Lonchura striata: one gene and its partners. The protein of the gene in region 3 interacts with the protein of the main gene of each other region in a biochemical or structural test. Links are inferred from orthologs where the notes say so. Each region holds a gene or a part of one and is shown on either strand. Other genes may lie near its edges. The genes, in order: CCNE1, CHEK2, CDC25A and YWHAQ.

What was found.
Region 1: the proteins of CDC25A (region 3) and CCNE1 form a complex in vitro, tested with the Homo sapiens proteins (2 studies listed by BioGRID). The link is inferred for Lonchura striata from reciprocal best matches to the Homo sapiens genes CDC25A and CCNE1.
Region 2: of the proteins of CDC25A (region 3) and CHEK2, one has a biochemical effect on the other in vitro, tested with the Homo sapiens proteins (5 studies listed by BioGRID, with this or other methods). The link is inferred for Lonchura striata from reciprocal best matches to the Homo sapiens genes CDC25A and CHEK2.
Region 4: the proteins of CDC25A (region 3) and YWHAQ form a complex in vitro, tested with the Homo sapiens proteins (2 studies listed by BioGRID, with this or other methods). The link is inferred for Lonchura striata from reciprocal best matches to the Homo sapiens genes CDC25A and YWHAQ.

What each region holds. Positions count from the first base shown.
Region 1 is NC_134615.1:9,263,096-9,270,571, forward strand, and holds the start of CCNE1 (G1/S-specific cyclin-E1), read right to left. Parts: upstream 3,013-7,476; 5' UTR 2,951-3,012; intron 2,672-2,950; 5' UTR 2,623-2,671; coding exon 2,587-2,622; intron 2,403-2,586; coding exon 2,334-2,402; intron 1-2,333. Other genes in the region: uncharacterized protein F13E9.13, mitochondrial-like, read left to right, coding at 3,497-3,521, 4,644-4,726. UniProt on the Homo sapiens protein: Essential for the control of the cell cycle at the G1/S (start) transition.
Region 2 is NC_134620.1:10,023,823-10,031,363, reverse strand, and holds the start of CHEK2 (serine/threonine-protein kinase Chk2), read right to left. Parts: upstream 3,004-7,541; 5' UTR 2,960-3,003; coding exon 2,713-2,959; intron 2,148-2,712; coding exon 2,023-2,147; intron 1,790-2,022; coding exon 1,642-1,789; intron 890-1,641; coding exon 799-889; intron 1-798. Other genes in the region: iron-sulfur cluster co-chaperone protein HscB, read left to right, coding at 4,182-4,381, 4,448-4,544, 4,899-4,988, 5,522-5,666, 6,538-6,585. UniProt on the Homo sapiens protein: Serine/threonine-protein kinase which is required for checkpoint-mediated cell cycle arrest, activation of DNA repair and apoptosis in response to the presence of DNA double-strand breaks.
Region 3 is NC_134603.1:156,255,482-156,262,994, forward strand, and holds the start of CDC25A (M-phase inducer phosphatase 1), read left to right. Parts: upstream 1-4,500; 5' UTR 4,501-4,628; coding exon 4,629-4,783; intron 4,784-6,912; coding exon 6,913-6,992; intron 6,993-7,513. Other genes in the region: E3 ubiquitin-protein ligase TRIM7-like, read left to right, coding at 458-480, 754-869, 1,095-1,130, 2,122-2,633. UniProt on the Homo sapiens protein: Tyrosine protein phosphatase which functions as a dosage-dependent inducer of mitotic progression. Directly dephosphorylates CDK1 and stimulates its kinase activity. Also dephosphorylates CDK2 in complex with cyclin-E, in vitro.
Region 4 is NC_134605.1:98,813,384-98,821,358, reverse strand, and holds the start of YWHAQ (14-3-3 protein theta), read left to right. Parts: upstream 1-4,971; 5' UTR 4,972-5,116; intron 5,117-6,135; 5' UTR 6,136-6,220; coding exon 6,221-6,514; intron 6,515-7,975. UniProt on the Homo sapiens protein: Adapter protein implicated in the regulation of a large spectrum of both general and specialized signaling pathways. Binds to a large number of partners, usually by recognition of a phosphoserine or phosphothreonine motif.

The DNA of each region.
Region 1 (7,476 bases), on a different chromosome or scaffold from region 3:
ATATGGAGGTGATCATGCAACTTGTATCACAATTACACAGATTATTCTAATCTAGTTAGATGAATTTTGTTTTACATGGAGCCTCACAAGTGTATTCATCCCCACAAAGCAGCCAGAATTAGTATGAGAATTGCTAGCAGAATTACAGCAGTGCCAGTTCTCCAAAATCAAACACAGAATTTATACAATATTCTGCTGTCACAGACCTGATGATATAGCCACCCTTTCATCACATAAAGGGTAACGGCATCCTAATTAAGAACTGAGGCCTTATGTTCCACAGAAGCAAACTAATGAATTGACTATGAAGATGTCATAAAGTGGGATGTGACTCTGATATTTTGCCTTGTGGATAAGCTAGTGTCAGTAAACAATTTATTTAATGCAGAAGTCATGTGGTATAGGCTGCAGTGGATTTATAGCTGCTTGCATTTTAGAACTGTCGTGTCTCCACAGAATAACTGTCGCCCTGGCTATCATTCCAGCCTGCTATACTGCTGCTGGAACCGTAAACATATTCTCATTAGTGGTCCATGGCAATTTATATCAGAGAATAGCTTGTGTCACACCACAGACTGAAGAGCTGCCACTGTGCAGCCAAATGTTAGCTTTTTTAACCAGATCTGGAACAATCTGGCTACTTTGTCACAACAAAAATACCTGATCTCTGTAGGGAAAGATATAGGCATGATATTATTTATTGTTTATAGAATGAAAGGGTCAAATTCTACCAGCATACTATAATTACCTTGAAAAATTCCCAAGAAAATATTTTTGATGTGTACTACCTATATTATCTAAGTTTTAGTTTACCTATCCATACTGAAGTAACACTAAATGGCTATCAAGCCAAGAGTACAAACAAGGAGACAAAACTGGAAGTCTTTATCTGCTTTGAAAACTGAAGGTCAACATATGCAAAAGATACTTCAAGTTTCCTTCCACTGTCTTTCTGGAAGACAGTAAAACTGGGTCCCCATTGAGATTTTCTAAGAAATACCTTATTATTATGCAATAAACATGCACGAGAAGGCCTTGCTCAGTTTAAACAGAATGAATCTTCTGGTGAAGGAGAAAGTTGCAGTGAAGGACAGGCAGCTCTTCCTTGTCAGAAGTGAGAAATTAGTTTAATATACTGTGCAAAAGAAAGACAGAAGGGAAGGAGAGATCCCCTCATTAAATGCTCACCATTTGAGCCCTGCTTAATATGTTGACTGATAACTAGTGTACGCAGTTGCAACAAGCAGAGGCCATTCCAAACAATGATGCCCATCTGTTATGGAAGCACTTCAGTCTTAGAACTTCCAGCTGCCACTTTGGGTTAGATGAGCCACATTCTGCATTGCCTCACCTACCAAATGAGGACAGGCAGCACACCCTGAGCACGACTTCCACAACTTCACCATCACCCTGTGTGTGCAGTGACAGGCTGGAGTGACAGTGACTGAGCAGGAGTGCACGTGTTCAGGGGAAAAAGGAGGGGAATGAACCTATTCCAGGACACAGGCTACTCAAGGTACAAAAGCATCATGCTTTCAACATCACACAGCATCCAACAGAGATCCCAAAAGCATCTGCTCTTTCAAGACTATGGAAAGCACACAAATGGAACTAGAGGACACCAGTAAAGTGAGTTTTGACTTTTTAAGTTGATTCATTCTACATGTCTTGCTGAGAAAGTTGGCAATGGTCACTATCAACCTCCACCGCAGGACTAATTTTCACACGTAGAGCAACTTTATAGCAATATTCCTTTGCTCTGCAGAGAAACAAAGCCTGTTTTACTATACCATGAGTATCTAGTACACACTTCCAGGTTCTAACCAAGAACTCCTTACTTAGCCTGTCTAATAATTACCCTTGTCAACAGGAAAAAGGGGACACTTTCCTCTTTCCCAGATGACAAAGAAGTAGAGACACAGCTCCAAAGAGAACCACTTCAAGAGATGATTCTGTCTGCTTGCTTAAGGAGCACAGGTACAAGGTGCATAAGCACATGACTGTACTTTTGCACCTCATGCAGAATAAGTCCAAAGGCTTGACAGGTGCACCTTTGCAACCCCAGGACAGGTGAATACACTTCAGCATTAACATGATGCCTCAGACCAAGACAGGCCTTATATCTTACAAAGGCTTTAAAACTGTATTGAAATATGAACTGTGTTGTTCTGCACACTCCATCATCAACCAGGGCCAACAGTCCCTCAACTGCTATGCAGCATGTAGCAGAAGCAGACCTGTTTCACCACACTGCCATAAAAAATGAGGTACTGCAAAGTAAGTGCAGGGTTAAGCAAGACTACAATATTTACATATAAAGCAAATTCAATTACCTGTTTTTCACACGGCTTTTTTCTAGTCATCTCCATTTTGGCAATTTCTTCATCAGGATCCTGTAAGAACTACAAGAAGCGACACATGATTTCCGGAGCACAGGCGGCGGGACAAGCAGCTGTTGGCAGCTGTGACACAGGCCGGGTCCCGCAGGAGCACAGCCCCGCGGCCCACCCGGCCCGGCCCGGCCCACCGCGTGGGGCCCGCACCCAACAAAAGGCGCCGAGGGCGCGGGGCCGGGCCCGCACTCACCGTGGCCACATCGGCTTTCCTCTTGCGGGCTCGCATGGCGGACTCCGTGCCCGCGTCGGCAGGAGCCTTGTCGTGCGCGCAGTCGCTGCGGAGAGAGGGGAAGCTGAGCGAGCGGCGGCCGCGGACGGCTCGGGGTGCCCGGCCTGCAGGGCCCCGCGCAGGGCGGCCCGGGCACTCACCTCTCCCGGCGCATGGCACCCGCCCGGGCCGGCCGCAGCGCCGCGCCGAACGGGGCCGAGCGGGCCGCAGCCCCCCCACAAAGGCCGGCAGAGGCGCGCAACGGGCGGCCGGACCGGCCCCACCGGCTCCCCCCGCCCCGCGGCCGCCCACCGCCCCCCGCCCGCCCGCGCTGCCGCTCACTCACCGCCGCGCCGGCCCTTGCCGCCCGGGAGCGGGCGGTCGGCGGGTGCCGGGCCGGTGGGGCAGGGCGGGTTCCGCCGGGCGCTGCTGCCTCACGGCGCGGCCGCTCCCGTCCGTGCGCACGGCGCGGGCCGCGCCCGGCGGGACATTTAAACGCGCGGCGGCGGCGCGGGGCCGCCTCCCGGCCGCGCACGTGGCCCCGCCGGGCCGGGGCGGGGCCGGCGGGGCGCGGGAGACGCGCGGGGTCCCGCGCGCGGCAGGGGCGGGGCCGGGGCGGGGCCGGGGCGGGGCCGGGGGCGGGTCCGGGGCGGGGCCCTGGCGCGGAAGCGGCGGGAGCGGCGCAGGCACGTGGGACCGCGCCGGGCCGGGCCGAACCGAGCCGAGGATCCTGTCCCGGTCCCTGTCCCGGTCCCTGTCCCGGCCCGGGCTGCGGGAGGCGGGGCGGCCTCCATGGCTTGCCCGGCCTGGCCCCGCCGACGCCCGCCTCCCCTCCCCGCAGGCCGTGCAGCGGCCCGGGCTGTCCGGGCGGCTCACGGCGGCGGTGGTCCGGATGGTGCACGTGGGAGCGCTGCCAGGTAAGCGGCGGGCGGGCGGCACGGCCAGCGGGACCCGGGCCGGGACCGAGTCGCCGGCGTCACCCCTCATCCCGGCTGCGGTCCCCCTGGAAGGATGTCCCTTCACCGCAGCCACGGGCCCCTCGTGAAGCGCCCTACGTTTGAGCGCTCCCCGTTTCTGAGGTAAAAACGGCGGGAAGCAGCTCCACACAGGGACCTGGCTGATGAAACAGGGGTTCGGGCTCGGCCAGCTCTGTGTCAAGAAGCAAGGATCAGGGAGGTGCTCAGATGGGCACAGGGATGGGATGGAGGCTGGCTAGAGATCTCTCATGCCCTTAGAGGCAGTGGGAAGCTCAGACAACACGCGGGATCTGCTCCAGCCTGGCCTCCTCGCCCACCTTTCCGGGAGTTCAGGGTGGGCAGAGCTGGTCAGGACAGCCCACCTTGCCCTGGACAGGCTGATGCCCAGAGCTCAGCGTGCCCCAGGTTTTCCCAGAAGCAGCCCCAGGTGGGACGGCCAGCTCCCCCTGTGCTGGGAAATCAGGCCAGCCAACAGAGCTTGCACAGGGCTCAGCTCAGTCCCCATTGCACACTCCCACTGCCTGGCCTTAGGAGCCCAAATATCAGAAGAGACTTTGGTCTTAAGGCAAATTCACTGAACTCCAGCAAAATCTGTTTGTGTGTATTTCTGCCATGAAGATCAGAGACAATCAATTTTGCAGATTAAGAACAGCTTTAACTGTTTTTTAACTCACTGATGCTTGGCATAGGTGTTCTGTGCTGACATAGAGGTCAGTCGTGCCCATGGGTTGTATTGTCTGGAGCAGCACTAATGCAGGATTAATTACAAGTATGTGAATAGCAAGCTAAGAGCAGACCTAGTGCAATAGGGATTATAGCAGGCATTCCTCAAGTTTGTGAATTAAATTGAGGAGCTGAATGGGTACAGCAGCTCTGCCAAGTTCAGCTAAGGAAAGAAAGATCACTAAGGCATGTCATAAGGAGATAGGGCAGCCTTTGAACAAATTTGTCCTGTATGTCCCTGTTTCAGTGTGCAATCCCCATGGATGACCTACCCAAAGCTGTTACTGTCCATGGGTTTGGTTTGTGCATGCCCTGGGCTGAGCAGCATTATTCTTGCAGGAACACCAGGAAGTTCTCTTCCATTGACCCAGATTAATGATCAATCACGTCAGGAGGCAGAAGTTTACAAGGATGTTGGAGTTGTAAGTTTTGGATTCTTTCTTTACGTGATGACCATTACACAAAACCACTTGTGCATAGCCAGAATTTTAAATTGAGCCTACAGCTCAAGATCAAAAGCATCTTGAAACTCATAGATTAGAGATGCTTAAATCCATGTTGTTTATTTCAACATAGGAAGTAGGCCTTCTAGATTACAAAAAAAAAAAAAAAAACAACAAAAACAAACCAACCTAAGATAAGTATCACTTGCACTCAAAACAATTGAAAAAGCTTAGATTCAAATTGTACAGTTCAAGTTGTTTGAGTTGGATGAATCAAGTCAATTTAAGGAGTTAAATAAAGTGGCCAGAAATATGGGCTGTTGCTGGCATTCAAGGTCTCTGGATGTAGAATGCTTCATCAATCTAGTCTGACAAGCAACTGTATTTTTAGCTCTGTCCAATCCTCTGGTTTCCTGAGGTCATGGAGCTATGCCATGTGCACAGCTGATACACTGCATGCATACCTTAGGAACCTGGAGGGTGCAGAATCACCCCACAGCTGTATTTGTAACAAAACAGCACAGAGAATTCAGGATCTAAAGAAAAAAAAAGGCTCAGGCCCTTTTCTGTCCCCTCTAAGCCTCTCTCCAGGCCCCTGGCAGCGAACATGCCTGCTTTGCATGTCCAGAAGAGCAGGCCCAAAAGGCCATTCTCAGCCAGAGGCAAGAAGAGACTGCTGTCAGAATTGCTGTTGGACTTAAAGTGGTGTAGTAATCTTCATAGGTCAGTAGATTTTAACAGGGTGTATGTCCTTTTGAAAGGTCAGATATGTTTTAAATGTTTCATTACACCTTGTCTTGGGTTGTTGATGTGCTTTTTCTTTGACCTGCCCACAGCATTATGAGCATTCTCTGGTGGTGTCCAAGGTTTTAAAATGTATTCAGTGAACAAACTGTCACTGCTACAAGCTGCTACTTTCAGAAAAACTTTATTAACAAATCGGTTGAAACATTTTTAATCTATAAATTAGAATGAGACTGTACAGACAGAACAAAATTGAATACAAGAGCTTAGTTTAAAGAGTAGAAGAACAAGGTCAAAATGCAACACAAATCACAGAAGGTAGATTATGGGCACAGCCCTGGTAAGGCTATACTAGGAAAGAATGCTGAGAATAGAATCATTGAAAGGATAAACAGCCCTGGGGTAAAATGATGCTAACCTGGTGGGCTTCAGTACCTGTGAACCAGATGAGCATGTGTGAGATGTCCACCCAGTTAGAACAGTCCCTGACTGCAAGCTGAACAGGACAAGGAAGTTTTCTTCCTTTTCATTCCTCCTGAAAGAACAAGTGTGCAGTAACTCTGTATTCTGTACTGTGCCTTTATATTTTTTTGTTGCGGTATCTCCATGGGGTATAACGTGTTTTGATCACATCAGAAGAGTGGCAAACACTAATCTCTGCCTTCCTGTGCCAGAGGAAGTGCTTGCACAGATAATCTATAACTCATAAAGCCATTGCTCCACATTGCAGTGGAGCAATGTTTGCTCATTTCCTTACATAATAATTACACATTGAAACCTTCAACAGCAGGGGGAAGACACCAAATACTGCTGAAGCTGAAGGACGGAACAGAAGCAGTTACTACCACTGCTGGCATGCACAAAGCTGCTGGAGCAACTTTGAGATAAGCTTTAAAATCAGTATTACAAAAAAATTTCAATTTGGCTTTTATACTTTGTCTTTTCAACAGTTGTACTCAATTCTGCAGTTCCAGCTTTAACTGGTTTACCTTTTCTGCAAGTGCATTGCAGTCTCTGAACTTGAATATATGTTTAAACCTACCTGTCAGGAGACACATGAGGTGAATGCAGTCATTTCTCTACACATTTGGACAAATTCAGGGCTTAGAGTTATAATTAACCCATTTTCCTGTCACAGGAACATCAATATACTTCCACACCAGTCTTCATTCTAAAAGTATGACCACTGTTAGAGAATAGAACAGAACAGAGTAACAGCAATATAAGAAACAAATCCTTTATTAAGGAGATAAGTCTCAGAGATAATCAGGAGAACCTCCATAAACATCAATAGGTTGTTTAACACTTTCTGCAGTTCAATTCTTTAGTTTTTTGTGCTTTAAGAGAAATGAAAGTTTTCATGATAGATGCTTTCAGGAGCTTCCCAGCTTTTACACAGAGCTGGAAAACTCAGTAGTTTGGCAATTTACTGCCAAACTATTCTGGAATGGGAATCTCTTTGGGTTTCTTGCTCAGTATTCCAAAGGAACTGTTAAGCTGTCCATTTTTCTTGTAGAAGAAGAGCTAGAGAAAAGGTTTTTTTTCCCATGGATGTTTGTACTGACAATGTTCCCAAATGATGCCCACAGTAGCCCTTAAGAAGATATGTAACCATTTGCTGCTATTTAGATGTTTACATATCGTATCAAATAGTTCAAATTGGTGTTAACATTTAAAAATAAAGTATATGGTCTTGCTCACTCCATCTGTGTTGCACTTGGAAGTAAATCCTGGTATATTCAGAGTAAGGTGACTTGTCTGGCACATTCACAGCTTCACATAATAAATATGAAAGATTTGTGATATTAGAGCATAGTAATGAAAACAAGTGAGTGTTCAGTTAGGAAGCCATCTGTGCTCAAAATGTATATGCTTTGTACTTGTGTGTTGCTAAACAATGAAATTCCCTAGACAAGATTTTATAAGCAGCAGGCTATGAGGCATTATAATCCCTCCAATTTGTACCTGCTTTTCTTTAAGGAAGA
Region 2 (7,541 bases), on a different chromosome or scaffold from region 3:
TCTACAGTACTTCTCAGAAAACATTCAAGAGTTAGAAAGTCTATTTAAACACAAGTGTTGCCAAGGGACATTCATTCAAAACTGCAAGAGTCAATATGCAAAGCAGTCGCTCTATTTGTACCAAAAGTACTGGCAGATAAGGATTTCCTTCATGCAAAGGCATTTAGAGAAGAGAACTTAGGAAAAGTTCTCTTAACATTGGACTGTACAAGTCTGAGGAACAGATATGACAATACTTTTTTTTTTTACTAAATAGCACTTATATTACAGAAAGAAATTCTTCTGTTTTCCACTTGGATTTGTTTCTACTTAATTATTCACCTCCAGATTCGTCACTGACCAGCTGTTTCCAAAACAGAAAAAAATAGCTTCTCTCCCCTTTTTTCTGGATAGTTCTTTTCCTTTTCATCTGAAGGCCTCAATAGTGATATTGTAGGAAGCTGTATTCTGACAAAAAGCTCTTCCTTCTACTTTCAACAACTGAGTAAATTAATATACAAACTTTAAAAATACATTAAGAATTTAGAGATTTCATTCTCTTCTACAGAAAAAAAACCCAACCAAAACAAAACTTGGCTTTTGCAATTGGTGGTAAGTTGCAAACCCCAAAGCAAGTAGAGAGACAAAAACAAAATTCCTCTTCAAATTGTTGTAAAGAACATACTTATTCACATGTTATCGTTGGTTTTTTTTTCCTTTTTCCTATTAAAACAGCAGCTCAGTTAATACAGGTAATAATTCCAAGATACTGATAATGATAATGAAGTTAACCCTTTCTGAGGGAAGAAGGATGCTTACCTTCCCAAAGTCTTTGACATGATATATTTCTCTCTGAATTCTTTAGGAAACGTCATCTGATCATCCACAGTAAGATCAGAAAATACAAACACTGGGAAGGCAAGTGGAGATCATTTTCCTATTATTAGGTTTAAAATATTTATTATAACAAACAGCTATGTTTTGTGAGTTTTTATAATCAACAATATAACTGAGAAAATACTGCCTGCTAGAGGAAAAACTAAATATATGCTATAAATTATACCAGCTATGGGTTGGCAAGGTGATCTTATTGCTGAAAAATTACATTTTGGGACTAAATTCACAACAGTCTTTAACTAATTAATTACATTTAAAGACAAAAGGAGCAAAAATTTCAATGTCCCAGCAAAAATCAAAGAGAAGTAATAATCAAGAAGACAGCATCTTAGTGGAAAATCGAAGACAAAGAAACAGAAACACAGCCGTGTTTATTTTTAAGAGGATTTTCTATTTATTATGCAGCATCTGGTTAGGTATCAAGGGGGTTTTATTCAACTTTTCTTCAATAGTCTGTTTCCCTTGTTCCCACCATCAATATGAACAGCTACTGAAGCCCCAAAGGGTTTCAAAAACAGGAAAAAACCTATAAAAGTTTATACTCTAGTAAGTATATTTCTGATATAATGATGCATATTTCTTTAAGTTTTCTTTTTCAGGTTTTTTTCAGGGTTGACATGGATAATTTTTATGTGAGTGCTAAAACACCTCTTAATGAGATGTGCTCACAAAGCAGCTCAGCTCCCAAAAACATACTCAAATCAATGCAGAAACAACCTCTTGGTCAATACATGAAAAACCTACTAAAATTAAAGCACATTTTACCCTTATTGGTCTGTACAGACAATGCAATTTCAGAGTTGTGTGTCAGTGGAAGCCTCCTCCCTCTTCCAACGAGCTCTCTATTAACAAATGTCCCATTTGCACTGTGGTCTTCAATGTAGGCAACAAAGGAATTTTTTGGACCCATTTCCTCAAAGAGAAAAAAATGGGGAAGATGACAGTAAAGAAAAATGACTTTACAATAAAGACATGATACACTAGAAATTTACTATTGTTGACTCAAGAAATGAGACTGAGTTTATTTCATAAACCATATGAATGGGGCATTGCCAAAAGTCAGGTTAAAGGAGTCAACCCTGAAGATACTTTGATTTCTTTAGGATCTCTGCCCCAAAGTCTCAAGTGAACATTTTTAGCACTTACCCTGAAAATTCGGAAGTGCTTCTTGCTATAGTTTTGGTAGAAGCTAGTCTCAGACAATCCCAGCTTAGAAAAACTGTAATCACAGCTTCTGTCTCTCCCAAACCAGTATTCCTCATTCACACAGTCTGCAGAGGAGGGGAAGGTACAGCAGGGAGGGAAGATAATGTTGCAGGAAGTTAACAACGATGGCACTACAGGATGATTCCAAATGGTAATGAACAGTATAACAGAGACAAGATTCTTCCCATAGAATCAAGTCTGCCTTAACTCATACAAAGCATCACCCCTTGTCAAACCCTTTAATAATTTTACCCTCTTTAGTGTTGATGAACACCTCTGATGGTGTTCTTCAGTTCACCATCAACCATATAGAGACATATAACTAAATAAAATATACATTGTTTTTTAAATGAAGCGTGTAACAAAGAATATGAACGCCCCAGAATTTCTGTAAGTCTGTGGAAGCTGTGTACCCCAGAATTTCTGTAAGTCTATGGAAGTTGTGTATCTGAGAACTCAGTGTAAGCACTTGGATGTAGTATGGAATAAAACATTAGAGCAAAAAGTTCCATACCTAAATTTGCTTGTACCTAACTTGAAAATGAAAAGACACTGCTCTTCAGCAAGCTGCTCAGACCTTTTCTGAGATCCTACAAAGAAACCAAGAGATTTATTACAGCATGCACATACCACAATTGCTGAAACCTTTTCCAAGTGCAAAGAGTCGACCCCAAGGCTGAGGAACCAGCTCTTCACATTCCTGGTCCTCAGGGATGGATGGAAGCTCCTGAGTGGGAACAGTGTCCAAGGAACTGAGAGTTCCAGAACTTAAGGAAGACTGACTAGTGCTCTGTGACCCACTGGATGAACTGGTACCACTCTGTGGCTGCTGGGAACTCTGAGATTGCTGTGATTCACTTCCAGTCTCTTGAGACATGTTGGCTTCAAAGAGAATGTTAAAAAAACCACAATTACTATAGCAAAGTAAAACTAGCAAACACTCACATACTGCACTATTAATGTCCAAGTCCATTCTCAGCCTCAAAGAAGTAAAACTTCCATCCAAAGCGTGCGTGTCTGGGTTATCCGTAAATTCCCAGGAACTGTGCAAACCAGGATGGTTTCCTTTTAAAAGACAACGTGGAGCGGCCTCTGCTGGTTCTAGAGAAGCAGAACGAACCCTCATTCCCGGATTGCTACCGGGGACTTCAGCGCTCCCATTGGGTCACACAGGCATGGGCTGTGCTCGGACAGCATCCCCGCACGGAGCAAGGGACAACGGCTGGTCCCCCAGCACAAAGAGAAAACTGAAAGGAATGAGAACTGTAAAATCATATAGGTTTTCTTTAAAGCGCCCGAGAGATTTATCACACTTGTACACAATAACTGCACAAAACCTTAACAGATTTAGACACCACAGCCAGCGGCAAGAAACAGCCGGGAAATCCATAGGCTGTGGTGCTTCCTTCTCCAATTAAATGCTGCCCCAGTCCTCCCTACAGCACAGCAGTCCAACCTTAGCACCTGTGTATCGGGTGTTTCGCTCCTTGCCATACAGTTCAATCTATGCTTTGCTACATTTCACTCCGAGCCATAAAGCCACGGCAGATCCAAGCTCCCTCCCCCGCCCCGTTTGTTACAGGTGTTGTTCCAGGGCTCCTCCCCAGGCAGGGCAGAACCACGGAAAAGACAGAGCCCATCGACTCCGAGCGCTTCCCCAGCGCTGCCAATGCCACCTGTGGCCGTGTCCCTGCGCCCACAGGGATGCTGACCCCACCTCCGACCTGTGGAGGAGCTTTCCCTCGTATCCAACCCGACCCTCAACGCTCAGACGGCGGGGCCGGGCCCCAGCGGCCCTGCCCGCCGGAGCACTGCCGCCCCGGACCGACACCGGCAGCAGCGGCCCCGCCGTGCCCATGAGCACTGCGGCCCGTGAAGCCGCGGGGAGCAGGCGGCGGCGGCGGGCCGGGGAGGAGGGCAGGGAAGGGAGCGGGGCAGGGCGGGAGCGGGGCAGGGCGGGAGCGGGACCCGAACTCACGGCTCTCGGGGCTGGCGGGGCTGGCGCCGTCGGGCCGGGGCCGCCATGCGCGCGGGGCGCGCGCCCCGAGCGCAGCCAATGAGCGGGCGGCCCGCGCGGGGGCCGGCGGGAGCGCGGCGCGATGCGGGCGGCGCTGCGGGCGCGGCTGGGCTGGGCGCGCCGGGCGCTCCGCGGGGCCGCGCTGGGCCGCGCCCCGGGGCCGCCGTGCTGGAGCTGCGGCGCCGCGCTGCCCGGCGGCGATGGGCCGCCCCGCTTCTGCCCCGGCTGCCGGGCTTTGCAGCCGCCGGCGCCGCGGCCTGACCTCTTCCGCCTGATGGACTGGTGAGTGTGGGCGGGGCGGCCGCGAGCCCGGCCGGCCGCGGCTCTCACCCGCCCTGTGTCCTGCAGCGACCGCTCCTTCCGCATCGACCCGGAGCAGCTGCAGCGGCGGTTCCGGAGCCTGCAGCGCGCCGTGCACCCCGACCGCTTCGGCCAGAGGCCGCCGGTGAGCGCCGGGCCGGGCGGGGAGCCGGGCCGGGAGGGGCTCGGTGACCGCCGGAGGAACTCGCCCTTGGCCTTCGGTGCGCGGCGGGGCCGCAGAGCCGGGTCCCCGCCTCTCCCGCTCGGGGAGTGAGGGGGCTCGCGTGTGTTTGTCTTTCGGTGCTCAGAAGAACTCTGCCCTGCCGTGCATTAGCGGACGATGAGGAGCCGCTGCGGTTGTCAGGCCTCAGCTGAGCGCTGTGCCGCAGGTCCCAGGTCCAGAGTCACACGGACTGGTGTGGGGACGCTGGCGTTCCGCATCTAACAGTGTATTTTGCCACTTGTTCTTAGCTTCCAATTATTTGCCGTCCATTTGCAGAAAGAGCAGTACTACTCTGAGCAGCACTCTTCCCTGATCAACAAGGCCTACAAGACCCTGCTGAACCCTCTGAGCCGAGGCCTCTATCTAGTAAGGTCTCCAGTAGCTATTGCAATGTTCCTGTAACTAACCCTGGGCGCTGGTAGGGATGGCACCCTCGATTCGGTCCTTAATTTGCATTCAGTCCTTCAATTTTCTCATTTGCATTGCTCTGAAGAGGATCACCAGAGATTGAAGGGAGACCAGAACCAAGTTTGTCTAAATTTTAATCAGCATATCATCTAATTTGCTACTCACCTTACAGTTATTTGTCTTTCACATCACACGTGGTGATGTTAATTTATCTTTAACATTACACGTGGTGTCTGGCCATGGCTGCACATTCAGAATTTCAGTCTGGCCCATGGCAGCCTTTTTTATGGTTTTTTTTTGGCTTTGGGTAACTGCTGATTTTTATGGTCAACTTATGTTTGGAGTTGATTTTCAGATTGACTCTATGCACTGTAGGTTTATCGAATATGAATTTGAGTATGCCCCACTAAGAGACTTAATATTAAAGAAAATAATTCCCATTGAAATAGATGTGGGAATAATTATTTTCAAATTCCCATTTCCTCTGCCAGCTGGAGCTGAGTGGAGTGGAGCCAGCACAAGAGACAGACTGTGATGGAGACTCAGCGTTCCTTATGGAAATCATGGAAATTAATGAGAAATTAGCAGAGCCCAAAAACAAGGATAACCTTGAAGAAGTTGAAAATGTAATTAAAGGTAGGTTATGACTTGGGGAGTTTGTACGGAACTAATATACTGCATCTTATGGAATACAAAAGTCTGAAAAATTTTAACTGTTTTGGTATACTTCTTGTAATGTCTTCAATTTGTGTTAGTCTGGAATTGACTCATTGCAAGAGCTTCTGCCCTGTTCCCCTTTTTCCAGTGTTGTCGTTATCTATTTATGCACCTAAACATCACATCTGTCTTGAGAACATTTGTATAACAGAACTATTCTGATGTCAAAATAAATATATATAAACAATAAAAAGGAATTTACTAAACCTTCATCGGGTTAGTCAGTTGTTCCAAAGAAAAAAATCTATCAGAATGAAGTTGAATAAAATGCTTGTCTAACCACACTAAATAATGTTATTTATAAAGGCATTGTAGTTCTTTCACCTTCTTCATCTGGCAGCCATTATATTAAGTGGTTATTCTCCTTATACAAGCAACTTTTTGTATATATTGTTGGTGATACCAAAAACATTTGGTTTACTGATACATTTAATTCTTTGCCATAACAGCTATGTGCTAAAAGCAACTACAATAACTAGAATAAAAACTGAGTAAGACAGGAGAAAATTAACTGTAGCAGGGCAAACTGATAGACCAAAAATAACTTGGATTTCTGAGAAATTAGTGACCATTGATGTGCATTGGAGTTGCTGTCAGTATACCTGTTTAAATAAGGAAATACATGTTTGAAATTATAATTAAAACATTGACAGCAGTATAATGAAAAACTTGTTTGGCTGCCAAAGGCTGAAACTAGTAATGAACTTTCTCACCACAGGCAGTCAGAATACAGTGGTATCAAATACCCTAAGTATAAAAAAAAAAGTAAATTAAATAATTTGTCTTACAGTTAAACAAGAAGAATTGACCAGAGAGGTGACTGCAGCTTTTGAAAGAGGTACCTGATTTTATGAAGTTTTTAGCTGCCATACATAACTGTCAAATGCTTAAAGCTCTACAATCTCTTACTGGCAAATATTTCCTGAGCTATGGAATAGAAACACTGCATTAACAAGGGTTCTTTGTTAGGTATTTAGAATAAGTACTTCTAAACTGACATTCCTGCTGATTTGGGAAATTCAGGAGCTCACATTAAAAGCAAAGTACAGTACAAAAGTTTCATTCATCTTGCATCTAAATAATCATTTTGGGTGGGAATGTAGATGCTAAAAAATTGTTTGTGCATCTCCCAGAATACTGGGAAGGACAGACTTCATCCTAGACATATTCTGAGGTTTCACACTTGAATTTGGGAGATGTTGTTCTGCAGTTCTGGAGCTGCAGTAGAGCAGTGAGTGCTGTTCTTTGCAGTGGAAGCCAAAGCAGCTGTGTGGCAAGTAAAGGCCTGTTCAGCATAAGGATTTGGGAACTTCCTGTGCAATAACATAACTTTATTCTACAGCCAATGGATGGGCACAAGCTTGAATCATTCCCAAGCTTCTGAAGCTGGGAAGAAACCTTTGTGGTTCTGTGCCAGGTCCAGAATGCTGCACTTTTGCCAGGGGTGAATAAACATCACAGCCCTGCTGGCTGGGCCTGCCTGTGATGAGTTATGTCCTGTTACTCTGTGCCATGAGAAGGGCTGTGTTACTTTTGTCTGTAGGTCATAAACCTAACTGAGGAGAAATTGTTTCAATATCAGTTTTGGACTTGGTACTGTCCAGACCAGCCTCCTCCTCATTTGCATGTTTCAGTTATGTCAGTTGGTCTATTTATATACCTTTTAAATAAAAACATTTGTCTTGCCAAGGATAGATCAGTACTGCAGCCACTTTACAGGAGTCATTAAAGGGTATTCATTCACAGTTCTTTTCCAAAATGTTTATTGTTATGTGTTTTGTGAAGCAATTGAGT
Region 3 (7,513 bases):
TAGACAGCAGACCATGGGGGGAGGTGAGCTGGCTGATAACAAGGCAAAACAAACCTTCACTTTCAGAGTCAGTTCTGAAAGCACAGAACATAATATCAAACATAACCAGAACACACGATTGGAGATACAAACACCATAACGTCACCCTAGGACACCCCCCTGGGCACTGTGAGCCCTGGTGGGGCTGGGGACACCTACCTGGCACCCTCTGCATCCTGCTGTGGCTCTGGGCCACATGGGGACACCGTGCTGTGACACTGTGGCACCGTGCTGTGACACTGTGCAGTGACACTGTGCTTTGCCCGCTTTGGGTCAGGACCCTGAGGGAAGGGAGGGTTGGAATGAGGGGTGGGGTGAGCTCCAGCCCCCTTAGCCTGCTTCACACAGCTGGGCAGCCACTGCAGCTCCCTGTCCCTCGGCAGTGCCACAGCTCACCTATGTTTTCTCTCTCTTGCAGGACGCTGGCAGAATCCTGCACAGGTACGAAACAGGCTCGGTGTCCCTCTGCTCCTGTGCAGCTCCTTTGGGCAAAGGTTTGGGAGCGCTGCAGGAGCCGGGAAGGAGGTGGTTTGCCCTGCTGGGTATTTGGGATTTCATGTGACGTTACCAGGAACCAGAGGCCATTGCACCCCTCCTAAAGATGGGGTTATATCCCTGTGCTGATAGCAGGGATCTGTGGCTGCGGGGAATTCCGTTTCCCTCCTGGCCCTGGCTGGTGGCTGGGCTCTGAGCTCCTCTCCCTGTTCCCCTCAGCTGTGAGGCAGCCAAGGCCCCAATCCCAGAGCCAGTTTCCTCAGAGCTGCATCAGAGCGTTGGGAGCCTCACTAGGAAGAGCCAGTGGATCGTGAACATGATGGACAAATTCAAAGGTAAAGCCCTGCTGGCTCCGTGCTGTGCTTCCCCTGGGCTTGGCTGGCAGTGGGAAATCCTCACTGCCTGGTGCCTCTGCCTGGGACTCAGGAGCAAAACGGCTGCTCCAGGTGGGCACCATCCCGGGATGGGCTTTGCTGGAGCCTGGGGCTCCACATCTGGCTTGCTGTCTTGATGGGGAGCAGGAAGAGAGACACTCATGCCTCTTCCTTTCCTCCTTCCAGTGAGCCTGCGGAGCGAGATGGACAGGGGAAAAAGGGGTAAGTTTCTGGAGCTGAGGGGGGAAACTGAGGGAGCATGAGTATCCTCATGTCCTTGGTGCAGAGATAGGCTCACACCACATCTAAACCCAGCTTCTGTCTAGAACTGAGTCCTGTTGTTTTGACTAGGCCTGCTGTAAAAATCCAGGTCTGTCCTTGTGCCAGGCAGCGCCAGGGATGCTGTCCTGTGACGCCAGGCGAGGGCCAGGACAGCAGGAGGCCGTGTCAGGCTGTGCCCAGTTAAGCAGAAGGGCTGTACATGTTTTTTGAGCTGGCATTTAGGCATGATCAGAAGTGCTTTTGCAGGTCCTCGGGACCCGCATGATGGAGCATTGCTGGGCTGAGGTCTGGCTGGCAGCATTTGTGCTAAGGCCGCTCTCCACTCTCAGTTTTTGGGATGATGCACTTGAGCACATCCCAAAAGGAGAGTGGTGCCTCAGTTTCCCCCCTGCAGTCCCCGGAGGAGTGGGTTTAGCAGAGTGTCTGGGATGGTGACGCTGCACAGTGACAGCAGTGTGGCCTTGTGGGATGGCCACGGGATGGCAGCAGAACATCCCTGGTGGATGGGAAGCAAGTTTACCCGCTTGCTCGGCAGAGCAGGGCTCCGGGCTGGGTGAGCCCTTGTCACAGAGCAGGGACTGGCCTGGCCCCTCCTGCCTTGCAGCAGTGCCCGCTCACACCCGCGGGATGCACTGCTCCCCACAGGCTGCAATATCCAGCAGATCTGGCAGCAGATTTAACAAAGCCCATCGTGTCTGTCCCCTGCATGTGGGGACACTGCCTGGCTCAGTCCTGCCTCAGGGAGCATCTTTCCACCCTCAGGTGCCAGTAAGTGGGGACAGTAAGGGTCCTGTGTCCCATGCCACCCGAGGGGGCTGCAGGAGTGCCCGTTGTGCTCCCAGGACACATCCCAGCCCCGTGGTGCAGGCTGGAGGAGAGCTGCTGGTTCTCCTCTCAGCAGGCACAGATTGATGTTTCTGTCATCCATTAGAGCAGGTGACACTGGACCAAGAGACGGCGAATCTTGACCTGATCCTCTCGGACGACCGCAAAACTGTGCGGTTCAGCGGAAAACGTAACCCCCCTGACATTCCCAAGAGGTTCACGGGCAACCTCAGTGTCCTGGGCTCCCAGGGCTTCACGTCTGGGAAGCATTACTGGGAGGTGGAGGTCTGCAATAAGGGCTCCTGGGCCCTGGGGGTGGCCCTGGAGTCTGTGCCGAGGAAGGAGTCGCTCAACCTGCTCAGATCTGAGAAGGTCTGGGCCCTGCAGCTGGACTGGACAGGCTACTACAGAGCAGAACGTGTGTCCCCTTACCCGCTGGCACTTCGGAAGGCGCCTCAGAAAATCAGGCTCCACCTGGACTACGAAGCGGGCCAAGTGACCTTCTACGACGCAAAGGACATGACGCAGATCTTGCAGTTTGAGACCACCTTCACTGAGAAAGTCTTCCCGTATTTTTGGGTCTGCTCCCAAGGTAGCCACATCCGGGTGTGTGACTGATAGGGTGGGATGGCTGCCCGTGCCCTTGGCTAGCTGAGCAGGGAGGAGCTGTGGGAATGTCACACTGCAGCCTCACTGCAGCTCTGCCTGGGCTGGATCCTCTCTGCAGTTTTCTGCATCTCCTCCCGCTGAGTCCTTTGGAACATTAAAGAAGTGCTGTCCTGCCTGGGGGTGTCTGCGTGCTGGTATCCTGGCTAGATCCCATGGTGATGGTGTCTTCTCCCTGTGGGCACTGAGGCCACAGAATAATCGGGAAGAGGGAGGGGAGAGGCTCTGATTGTCCATGCCAGCCTTTGGCAGCACTGCAGGACTGGTGGCAGCTGTGCTGTGCTGTGCTGGACAATGCAGCCACCCCACACTCAGGAAGCCAGGCTGGAGCCACGAGCTGATAATGATGCCTTGAGCTGGTAATGGTGCCATGAGCTGATAATGATGCCTTTCATATTTTTTGGATTATGTGCTGCTTTGGTGTGTAGCTCTGAGCTTTGTGTTAGGTGTTAGCAAGTTCTCTTAACAGGCTTGGTAGAGAAAACAATCCTTTTCCAGCCTGAGACCAGTGATAACCCTTAGAAGGTCCAGGCCCCAAAAGTATAAACAACAGTGAATTGAAGAGAGAAAAAGAAGAAGGGTAGGACTTCATAACCCTGAAGCTGGAATTGGACAATTAACTCCAATATGCAAATGGACCAAAACTTATAAAAGTGAGAAGCCTCATGACTGGTCATGCATTTTGTGACAATTTTGGTTCATTTTGGGTGTAGCCCTGGCTGGGCTCTTGCGCTGCCCAAGATGCAGCCATTAAGGCCTTTTACTAAATACCTACTTTATTCTTTAACTCTGTCTAGCCTCTGTTCTGGGTCAGCCTTCACAAGGCATCAGTTCTGGCAACCTAGATGGAACAGAACCCACAATTCCTGGCTTAGGAAGCCAATGCTGTTTGGTGGTGGTAACTGCTGAAAAAAGTCTTGTAAAAAGGAAAATGTTCAGGGAGGGATAGCAGGAGTGAGGGTGCCTGGAAGAGCAGCAGGAGCCGGGGTGTGATGGCAATCTCTGAGATCCGGCATGCTCAGGGAAGGATCAAACACCCCACTGTCTAATCCAGGAACCAGCAGCACTGTGTGACTGGGGGTGGCAGGGCGCAGGGGTCGTGTCCTGGAGATCCCCTGCATCCAAAGCGATCAGCTGGACACAGCAGCCTCTGGAACCACCAGAGACATGGCAGAGGATTTGCCAGGGGCTGGACAGCACGGATCTGCGAACGCTCAGCTGGGGAGAAGCTGAGTGTCCTAAAGAGTTTATGTGGAGTACTGTCAAGTCTCCCTTTTCCTGCTCCTCTGTCCGTGAACCCCATCCTGGTGTTGCAGGGATGTGCAGTGCCTTACTTCCCCAGCCGCTCACCAAACGCCTCACAAAGTGGCTTTTGTTCTCAGGGAGAGCTCATTTGATGAGAAACCATGTGGGAAGGGCTCTTTGTCTCAGCGAGGCGGCGTTATCTGCTGAGTTTGTGCCTTTTTTCCTTCACGTTCCCCATTTTCCCCTCATGCCCAGGCTAAAGGGAGACGGCCGGAAACATGGCGGCAAAGAGGCGCCGCTATGAGACGGGAACTACATTACCCAGCATGCAACGCAGACAGCGATAACGCGGCGCGCCTGCTAGGAATACTGGGAAATGTAGTCCCTCCGCGCTGGCGCGCACTCCCCCCCAACTCCGATTTCCTCGCGTTCCTATTGGTCCAGAGCGACGCCAAGCAACCGCCGTGGGCGGGGCCTGGCCGCGGCGCCGCCGTTCCTACTGGCCGGAGCGCGCGCGGTGGGAGGGGAGGTTTGAAAAAAAACAACCCGCCCCCCGCGGGGCCCCGCGCGCTGATTGGCCGAGCCGCGGTTTGGCGCCAGCTTCAGAGCGGGCGACGGGTACCGGTTGGGGTCAAAACGCCGCGGCGGCCGCGCTGACGGGACGGGGCGGCAGGGCTGCGCTGCATCCCCGGTCCCGCTGCGATGGAGCCCACCCCGAGCGCTCCGCACCGCCGCCGCCGCCTCCTGCTGCTCTCGCCGGCCTCCCCCGCCTCGCCCGCCGTGGTGAAGGCGCTGTTTCAGGATGAGCTCTCGCCTGTCTCGGATCTCCGCCTCACCATGGAGCAGCTGGGGCGCGGGTGAGTCGGGGCGCGGGCCCCACCAGAGCCCGGGCGCCTCCTTTTTCTCCCCTCTGTGGTGACCCCCCCTCTCCCACAGGAAAAAGCGAGGTTTGGAGGGCTCGTCCCGCGCTGCTTCCTGCCGTGCCAAGGGAGCTCCTTCCTGCTCTGCTCCGGGCACTTTGTCCCTCTCCAAAACGCTTTCTTCCCGCTGCCGGGCCTAGGGAGGCTCCCCCTTGTATAAACCCCCCCCCAGGCCTCCAGGAGTCCTTTTCCTCGCCTTCCCTCCACCCCCGTAATTCCCTCCCGCGCTATTGTGAAAAACGCGTATTTTACACTGGGAACCCTTAGGGAATTACACGGATAAAAACCCCAAACCCCTTTGATGGCTTTATGCCCCTCGCAAGCCCCAAAGCCCCAGGCACGTCTTTTAACCCCCCCCTCACCTTCCCCAGCTATTCCCAGCTCTCAGGAACTCCTTCCCTTCCCTGTCCCCCCTCCTTCCCAAGGAAAAGCCTCGGGGTGCTCATCTGCCCTAGCCCCCCAAAAAACAGCCTCGTGGATCCCTCCTTTTCCTTTCCCCCCACCCCCAATGGAGGGTTCTCTTTATTCCCTTTCCCCCCACCCCCAATGGAGGGTTCTCTTTATTCCCTTTCTCCCCGCCCGGCACTGCGGGCTCATCCCGCTTCCTCTCCTTCCAGGCGCCCTCCCCACACCTCCAGCCCCTCTTCCCCCAGCCCTTCCCCCAAAAACGAGGCCTCCCGGGGCTGTTTCTTCTGCCCGCGCCCACCCACGAGGCCTCGGTTTTAACCCTCCCGCTGATCGTGAAAGGGTTTTAAAATCACGGGGATTTAGGGTTAGAAGGAAAATGAAGCTTAGTAGGCCCTGGGAAAATACCCTGGGAACGTGTAGGCCTTGTGCCTTGCTGGAACTGCACCTGTGTAGCTGGTACGTGATAAGTGATATAATTGTTAGATGTGATGATTGTTTAGTAATTAAATATAATTACTGTTTGATCGTAGGAATAATCATGAGAAACTGGTCAGAAGCTTAAGAAAGATCACGAGAAACTCATGGTTGAATAAGGTCAATGTATACAATAGAACAATATAAGTTTAATTAATAATTAATATGTAAGTTCTGTAAGGATAGAATATAAAATACGTTCAGCTCGAAAGCCATGTGGGAGTCAGATTTGGGTCTGTACCCCTGATTCCCAGAGCTCTCAATAGAAGCAGCTGCATAGAGTCATATCCTGTGATTCTGTGTGCTCCTGACCGCTGACACCACCCCACAAACCTCCAGGAGTCCCTTAGGGCCCCCTTTGGCTGCTGCCTCCCATCTGTTCTGCCCTCCTGCCCCCATCCCACACAGATCCATGCTCTGGGACACCTTCCCCCTGCCCAGGTTCTGCTCTGGGCATTCCCCTCCCTCCTGAGCCCTTCCCTGGCTTTCCCTCTCTCCCACAAAAAGCTTTGTGTCCCTTCCATGTCCTCCTGCCTGCCCTGTTCCTGCTCTGTGCTCTGCAGCTGCACCCCTTCCCTAAACCCCAGCTGCTCCCTTTTCCTGCTCTCTTAACTCCTCTAATCCCATTATTCCCACAGTTCCTCCCTTGTGTGGCTCCTGTTTTGTCCTGGCCCACTCAGGTCTCAATGACCCTCCTGGATTTTGTTTGTTGATTTTCTGTTCTCATTTCTGCCACCACCTGCCTTATGGTCCCATCCTTCCTTCAGATTCCTGGGATTCCTGCAAGCCATTGGCAGTGCCCCTCTTGGAATTTATTCAGCCCTTTGATTTTGTAGCCCTGGCTACATTCTTTTTTTAATTAACCACATGCTGGAGCCTCACTCAGGTAGCTTTTCCTTTTTATATGTGGGACTCCATATGATTTTCTTCTCTCTCAGCACTGAGGTTTAGCAGATAAAACAAAATTTGGGAGGTAACTATTTATCAAAATGGGTTTGAATTAGAAATTCAGCAATTTTATCAATGCAAAACCTGAATTAAAGGAGTGTCTGCCAAAGAGGATTGCAGTTCCAGGAAGGATAACTGGGCTTTGATAGAACTCCAGGTGATGCCCACCTGTGCTGTACCTACCTGCAGTGTTGTGTTTCTTGCTTTTAAAGCAAATCCCAAATTTTCCTTTCCAGGCAGCATGAAAATTTGGACCAGGACGTGGGAACCAAAAATGGATTGCACAGATCAGCATCTTCAGAGTCCACAGACTCAGGTGGGGCTGCCTCAATTAATAAATTCTGATTAGGAATTGCAAAGCAATGCACTCCTACATGGCACCCAGGGTTTGGAGAGAGAACTGGCCCTGCCTGCAGCCCCCTCTCTTTCCCATGCCCTTGGAAGGAGGGAGGCAGATGGAAAATCCCCCAGGAAACCTCTGCAGCTCGTGGTTTGGGCTGTAGATTTTTTTGAATTATTATTTTAAATTTTGCTTTAATTGTCCTGGAGGCTGTGAGCAGTAGGGAGTGAAAACAAGTCCTCACTGTGTTTTCTCTCTTTAAACCCAGACTGTGCCAGTGAGTGGCTCTGTCCTGTGTTCTCCTGTTACCCAGGGCACGGGTTGGTGATCTGATCTGAAACCCCTCAGTTCTGGTACTTCCTGGGAGGATTTCCTGTTTTTCACATGAGATGTTTTATCGTTGAAAATGAAATAAGCTCTCACCCCATAACTTGTAGATTCCCTCTGGTGCTTCATTGCTCCAGCTGAGGGAAATCACTGTTTCCACCTGGATTTAT
Region 4 (7,975 bases), on a different chromosome or scaffold from region 3:
ACTTCACAAGAGATTCATTGGACCTGCTTAGGACCAAAACAGACAAACCTGCACTTTAATGCCAACAGCACAAAAAAGGGAATGGTTCTGTTCAGCCAGCATCCTCCTTCCCTCCCTCACAGGCCCATCAGGATGAAAGGAAAGCTCTCTGAAGTAGGGAGATGGCTCACCCAGGTAACAGGCTTGACTCTGTTCCCTAGAGCCTATTGCACTCTCCATGCTACAGAAGGAAATACAGAGAAACCCAGTCATGTTCAACAATGTTATAGATACTGCACCTCCCAAAAAGAGGCATGGAATCTAACAGCAGTTACTGAAATGGTAGGAGGGAAGAGAGTGTCAGACAAAAGCTGAGACACTCCTATCAACCATGATCAGTAGCTGCCTCAGCACATCAGACTACAGCAACATTTACCTTGCAGCAGGTATCAATATTAATCAATACCATCCTTTACAAGCAATGACCAAACTGCTCCCAGCATGGAGATACACTTATCTTGAAGCCACTTAAACCAGAAAAATGGCACTCAGCAGCAAAACTGAGGTTCAGTACCACCCTCCCACACTGACAGTCATCATCCTAACCCAAGTACTCCTTGATTCCTCTCCTCCCAGCAGAAGAAAACTGTTTGCATAAAACAGCACCCAGCAATAGCTCCACATTCATCAACACCTTCAGAGGCTTGTTCTCTGGAGCAATTAGTTTACACCAGCAATGAGCAAGCCATGCAAGTATTTTCAAAAATTTAAGAAGTCCTGTGGCCTCCTCACAGCACAGAACAGACAGAATATGGAATGAGGCTAGTTTTTAAAGAGCTTGATCCCACTGACTCACATTTATTTGTCACTTAACTGAACTCTGATGATGCTTTAGCCTCTTACATGAATGGCTTTCTATTTTTAATGTAAGAGCACTCATGCTACGCTCTAGCACTTTTTAGATATGAGAAAAAAATACAAGGATAACAAGAGATCTTATCCTTTCATTCCTAAGTCCCCCAACCAAGTGCAAGATAAACAAATTTAAGTAAATTTAAGTTTTATCTAGAAGAGTCATGGCCACTGGTTCAGTTCCTCTCCAAAGGCTTAAATACACATCAGTCTATATGAACACACTTAAAATGTTTTTCATGTTTTAGCTAGAATGGTTTAGCTATTTCTCACAGAGAAAATCAGAGAGAATTCCAGTTTTGTCCAGGATGACACACTTTATTACAATTTGCTTATCAAAAAATTCCAACACCTGCAACCAAGTGGCACCTTTAAATTCTTCAAGAAGTTGGGCAAATGGAAGTTAAATCTTATGCTGGTTTCATGGAAAACTAACCAAACATGGAAAACATAAAGAAAAAACTCAATTTTAATACCCTCAGATGACATATTAAAATTTACCTGCAGAATTTCCTTAAAACTCCAGCTCTCATAAAGGACTACTAAATGTCTAGGCCCCCTAAGCAAGTCTTCTTCTGTCCCCCAAAGTTTTAGTAAAAGTTGGAACAAAGGAAGAGCAGAGGGTACAGATACAGAAAGAATGACAGCAGGAGAACAAGTGTACAGACAGGAGTTGAGCAGAAGACAGGAATCAGAAGGGGATGAGATGGGATGTAAATTAGGGGGCTGATAATAAGGAGAAGATTACAGGAAGAGTATGGGAGCAAAAGAGACCTTAACCACCAGAACACAGGGCCTTAATAAACATAAAATATGTTCTCTTGCCATTAAGTGAACAGACACGAGACTAATTGTACAGGATCTCCATCCCACTCAAGACAGGACACAAAATGAGTAAGTTTTTCTACTGTTACTCATGACAGGACTGTTTTGCATAGTTCAGGACCATGCTGCGTATCCAAAAGGCTCACTCACACTGTTGTTCAGTGGTATTCTAGGTAAATCCCGTGACAGAAGTCTGCTTTTGGGGGTTCTTTGCTTGTTTAGCTTCATTCACAGTGCTGTATGTTTGCTTTGTGAGATGCCACTTTGAGCTGTTGTGTACCTGTTGTACAGACAGCAGGAAGGAAGTTCCTGACTGTACCATCTCAACCTCCTTTGCTGTAGAGATGGAAAGCATTTGATTGGGGTTGTTTCTGCTGAGAAAAAGCAAGAAAAGTCTTATAGCAAATAACAGAGGCTCTAGAAAACTGTCTTCTAACTCTGTTGTAAAGTTCACATGTAAGTCTGAGGAATTTGCATTATATATATTCTTTATTTTTCTCCCACACCCCAGTTGAGTAATTTGTGGTGTGAGCTGCTAAGATGCTGAATGTGAGTAGGTGCATCTGAAGTCAGTGGGAGGTGGACTTTCTCTACATGCAAAGTAGCATAAAGCATCTACCACCCTGGAAATGAAAGTCTTTGATACGATATTTACCACCTGGGAAATTAAGCTTAGATTTCTTCATATAGGTAACCAGAAGTGTTCATATTTTTAATTTCCTGCACCCAAGACAGAATAAGGCCAGCCATTTCATAGTGGTGACAAGGGTAAAGTCCTTAATGGTCAGTAAGATTATAGCACTCCTGAAATGCTCTACAGGAAATTAGGTTTTTTAATTCAATAAAGGATAATGTTATGCAGTAAACTGTACATTAAAGTACACATGGACTAAGCATGTATAAGAATATGTAATAAGCAATAAAAGAAACACAAATTTGGAAAGCTTCTGGAGCTTACTCTCCTGCTATCCCAGGCAACTGCTTATGTGCAATCACATAAGCACTTTTATAAACTCATCAGACTCTGCTTTCTAAGCGAATGGGCTTCCTGCCCTCAGCACAGGGAAACTGTCTCATGGCCTCATTGCTCTGAAAATTCCAAATCTTCTAAGTCACAGTCTAAATTCATTACTGACCATTTTACACACATTTGTCTTCAATTTAAAAAACAATTCTACATCCATGCCATTTACTCTTTTGAGAAAATATAAAATCTCCTCTTCATTTTTCTAATCTAAACACAACATATCCTTCAAGTCCCTTCTCTGAAAAGCTCCCCAAAGGACAACATTCCTAATCAGCAATAGGATTCTTCTGGGGAAATAAGCTTATGGCTGTATGATTAAAATCTACATTGCTGGGCAATCTTATGGCATGTTAGCCCACAAGACCCAAGCCTGAAAAGCAAGGAGCACAGAGGGGGTTTGAAGCCAGACACACACAGGCCACACAGCTGCTATGCACACATACATCAGACTCTGCATCACACATGGAATTCAGTCTGCATCCATCACACTGCTCTGTGCAAACTGCTCTGCTTAGTACTTCCCAACTCTTGACTTAGTTCTGTATTTCTTAATGCACCCTCTCAATAGGTGGAAGAGAGACAGGAACTAAATGTTATGAGGGTAATTCTCAATATCTTCCCCTTTTCTTTGAGGTGAAGCAGTGAAGGAAGTAGCCTCAATCAGGTCAGTGTCTTTCCTCAAATAAAACACACTCACCTGTGCCTTAAAAGTGGAATGGTTAGTTGATAAAGACATGGTGTTAATAAAAAAGGTTTTGTTACACTATTGGTCAGCTTTGGTCTTTACTTCATGTAAATGAAGATAATTATAAGGGACTAATGTAATTGCAAACATATCCTACTAACAAGAATAAATGGGCATCCTAAAACTATAGCAAGTTGCCAAGAGGTAACTTCCGAGGGAGATCCAGAGTGGTTTCTCAGTTTCATTAAATTTGAAAATATTTTTATCATTAGTTCTATTTTTTTTTAATAAATCAATGTTTCCCAAACTCAAATGACAAAGAAAAGTGTCTTGTTCATAGTATAGCTCAAATTTCCATACACATAGTCCTAGTACTAGTCCAAACACATACCAAAAGCTTTATAAGTTGAGACAGTAACATCCTGGGATTGATTCAGAGAATTCCTCATCCCATCTGGATGTTGAAATTCCTCAGTATGACTATATTTGGTGATGCTGAAAAGAAAGGTGAGAAATGTCATCTCTTGACACACAGACCTGGTACTGCAGACATTGGAGGACCTGACCTCGCCTGAGCCCTGATTCACCAGATGCATTTGACCTGTTTTGTACGGCAATACCAACAACACAAACCCACCGTGTCCTTAGCACATCCTCTGAGGCTCAGTCAGCGTGAGTGCACACAAGTCATGCATCTACTCAGCCAACGTTCTGGACCTACATGTGGCCGTAGGTGCCTTACCTTTATCCAGACACGGGTGGGTAACATGCCACTACTGTATGTCATAGCACGGGCTGACCTCTAGAGAATTAAGGTGAAATCAAGAGGATGAAAACAAGCAAATATACTGAGAGCTTGTGGGAAATGCTATCTTCAGCCACGTGGGGCTGCGGGAACACGGACTCGGGAACACGAAGCCCCGCAGTGCCCGTCCTGGGCCCCGCCGGCCCGCGGCGCCCGGCGGCGGCGGCAGCGCCCGGACTCGGCCCGGCCCGCTCCGGACGGACGGACCGCACGGCCGCTCCCGGCCCTGCCGCGCCCGAGCCGCCGCGGGGCCGGCCGGGCAGGGCCGGGCTCGCCGCCCGCTCCTGCGGGAGCTGCCGCCGGCGCGGCGGGGAGCGGCGGCCCGAGGGCGCGGCCGCCCGCGGGCGGAACAACAGCCGCCGTGGTGCGGCCGCGGGCACCGCCTCGCCCCCCGCTCCCGCCCCGCCGCCGGCAGGGGCACCGCCCCGGCCGGGGCCCTCCCGCCGCCTCCCCCATCCCCGCTCCCTTCCCCTTCCCGGTCCCGGGTGCCGAGCGGGGGGAGCGGCGGCGGGGGGGGGCGAAGGGGGGTGTAGCGGCGTCACCATGGCGACAGTGACGTCACCCCACCCTGGATCTCATTGGAGGAAACCCCGTGGCCCCAGCCGCAGCCCACGGGCCCAGCCGAGCTCGCGCCCTGCCCGCGCTCGCCCCCGCGGCGGCGCGCTCCTCTCTGATTGGCCGGCGGCGCGCGGGGGGGCGGGGCCGGGCGCGCAGGCCGGGCCGCGATTGGCCGCGTGGGCGCGGGCCGCGCAGCGGGTTTGTGCGCGCGCCAACGCCCTTCAGCGCTGGCTCGGCCGAGACGGGAGCGGCTCTTTCTCTCCGCCACAGCCCCGAGCGCGGCACCGACCGGGTGCGGCCCGGCCCCACAGCCCGGCGGACCCAGGTGAGCGCGGGGTCGCGGCCGGCGTCGGGATGGGCCCCGCTCCGCTGCTTCCTCCCGCCGCGTCCTCCATTTTGTGATCGCGGCGTGGAGAGCTCGGCGGCCCCGGGGAGCGGGAGGTGCATCCAGCGCCGCCATTTCGCACCCGCCGCCGCTTCCTCTTCCCGCCCCGTCGCCACGGGGACTCCGCCGGCCGCCCCCGCGCCCCCCGCCGGCGCAGGAGATGCGGCTGCTGAGCCCGAGACCGCACCCGCCGCCGTGTACCGGGAGCCGCCGCGCTCCCCGCCGGCAGCGCGGGGCCCCCGCCGCGCCGGGGTCCGGATCGGCGGCCGCCGAGGCCGACAGGGAGGCCCGGGTCCACCGCGCCCCGCCGCGGGAAGGAGAAGCGCCCAGGGCCCCCTCGCCGGCCTCGCGGCCCCGGCCCCGCTCGCCCCCAGGGAGGCGGGTCCTGGAGGGGTTTAACCCCTGCTGTGTTCTCCGGCGCCGAGCTCGTCTTGCTGCTTTTATTATGTATTTGTTCCCGCCAGTCCTGGCATTCATGCCCGCCTGCCTCCGGTGCTCGCCCGCAGGACTGGTAGCACACGGAGGCAGGGATTTGGGCGAGGGCCCTAGGCGGGGTGGTAACCAGGAATCATTCCACGAGTTACGGGGCATATTAATATGCTCACGTAGGGCACGAAGGAAAAGCGGGATGATGACTTTTTTCTGATGGAAAAACAGCTGTTGCCACTGCTTGGGCGGCTGGCTGCCGTCCCTTGTATAGCACCGACCGAGTGCGACTTCTCCGCCTGGGTTTCTAGGTCGTGGTTTCCCGAGGGGTGGACCCTTGGGGCGCGTCCCCGTAGCCTTGCATGGAAAGGCAGGATGTTGCAGTCCGTCTGTCCAGGAGGAGCACCTGGAGATGGGGAAGGGACGGCAAGGCTCAAAGTAATTCTCGTTTTTGCTGGGTTGCAGTGGGTGCTGCAGGATCGTGTTTGGTGGTGTTTATCCTGGCATCATGGTTGCTGTCTTCTTTCTGTCAGGTTTTGAGGTGCATTCTCGTCCTGATAGTGTGACATCTCCAGCTTCTTCTGCTACTGCACTGCTCTTGTCCCACTGCCAGCCACCATGGATAAGACCGAGTTGATCCAGAAAGCCAAGCTGGCTGAGCAAGCCGAGCGCTACGATGACATGGCCACCTGCATGAAGGCAGTAACGGAGCAAGGTGCCGAGCTGTCCAACGAGGAGCGCAACCTGCTCTCCGTGGCCTACAAGAACGTGGTGGGGGGGCGGCGCTCGGCCTGGAGGGTCATCTCCAGCATCGAGCAGAAGACAGACACCAGTGACAAGAAGATGCAGCTTATCAAGGACTATCGGGAGAAGGTGGAATCTGAGCTCAGGTCCATCTGCACCACGGTGCTGGTAAGTCAGGACTTTGTTTTTTCTTATATTTTGTTTAAGGTAAAAAAATACAGTGTTTAAGTGTGCTGCTGTACTGGAGGAAGCATTGGGAACTTGCTTGGGGCATATCATGCAGTGTTGTGCTGGGGTAGGTGAGGTCAGTACCGTAACTTCTGCAACCCTTACGTGGGTCACTGCAATGAGGAGGATCAGCTGCACTATGCTGTTGACGCTATATTTGTAGAGGTATTTGAGATAGTTAATTTTGAGTGTCTATGAGGTACGTTTTTGGGTGGAGAGATCCATATGGAGTATTTCACCAGGTAATTGCAGAGATACAGCCTCTGTGCTGTGGTTAGTAAACATATTCATAAGATAAACTGAAAATGTGGAAAGCCCTTTATTTAGATCAGCTAATAACTTGCTACAAACATTGAAGCCATGTATGCATTTTGTTTACTTCCTGATGAAGAGAAATACTCTAAAGGGGTCTTCAAGAGACATTTTGATGAATGCTTTAACATAAATTTAACTTTTCAAACTTAGACATCTATATTGAAGGGGAGAAAGTGACATGTAGAAATTGTCTTTGTTAGATGCAAGCTGACTTCTCAGGGTAGCTTTGAGATGGTTTTGCAGTAATTACGGAGCAATGTAAAACTAAGGTGTAAAGACCAGAATGACATCCTAAGCATGCATCAAACACAGAAGTACATTTCTGTGGAAGCAGCAGAATTCCAGGTGCTGTTGGTAGGAAAACTGTAGTGCACTGCAGTGGGAGCTCATGAGATGTGTGTCTGCAGTGTGGAGGCTGCTGGACCCAGTTTTACATGACCAGGGAATGATATCTGAAAAAAACTGCACGTGCATAATGCAATAGTAATTCTGTGGGCAGATCATCTTCAGTGGTTGATTTGCTCCTCTTAGTTACCTTTTTCTGGTGTCTAGTATTGCTAATGTGAGACCAGGAGGAAGCAAGTCTATAAGGAAATAAACAATTTTGAGGTAAACTTATTCTAGATTTGTTTAGGAGATGTGAATTTAAAGGTGACTGGTTTGGAAGTAACTGATTTTCTTCTTGATTAAGTGTTTTGGCTCACATACAAGGGAATGCTTCTTTGGACTGTGCTGAAAATACCTATATGCTTCCTTGTATGCTGCCATCTAGGTTTGTTCTTTTTTAATCAAAGTGAGTTGTCTTTCTTTGAAAATAATTTTCATATTTATTAGCTTTATGAATCAGTTAATTCCTTAACACATTTGAGCCCATGCCTTCCGCAAGAACAAAATTGTTTCAAAAGGTGTATTGAAATTGTAAGACTTTCACCTTTGTGAAAGTAATACTTCTGTAGGATTCCTACTTCCTCTGACAAGAGTTTCACTGGACGCCTGTGTTGAAGTGCCAGCATTTGTGTCACTCTTCTTTCTCTACTCAGTGCCCCACTTCAGAACTAACTTCTTGGGACCTCCATATAAAGCTCT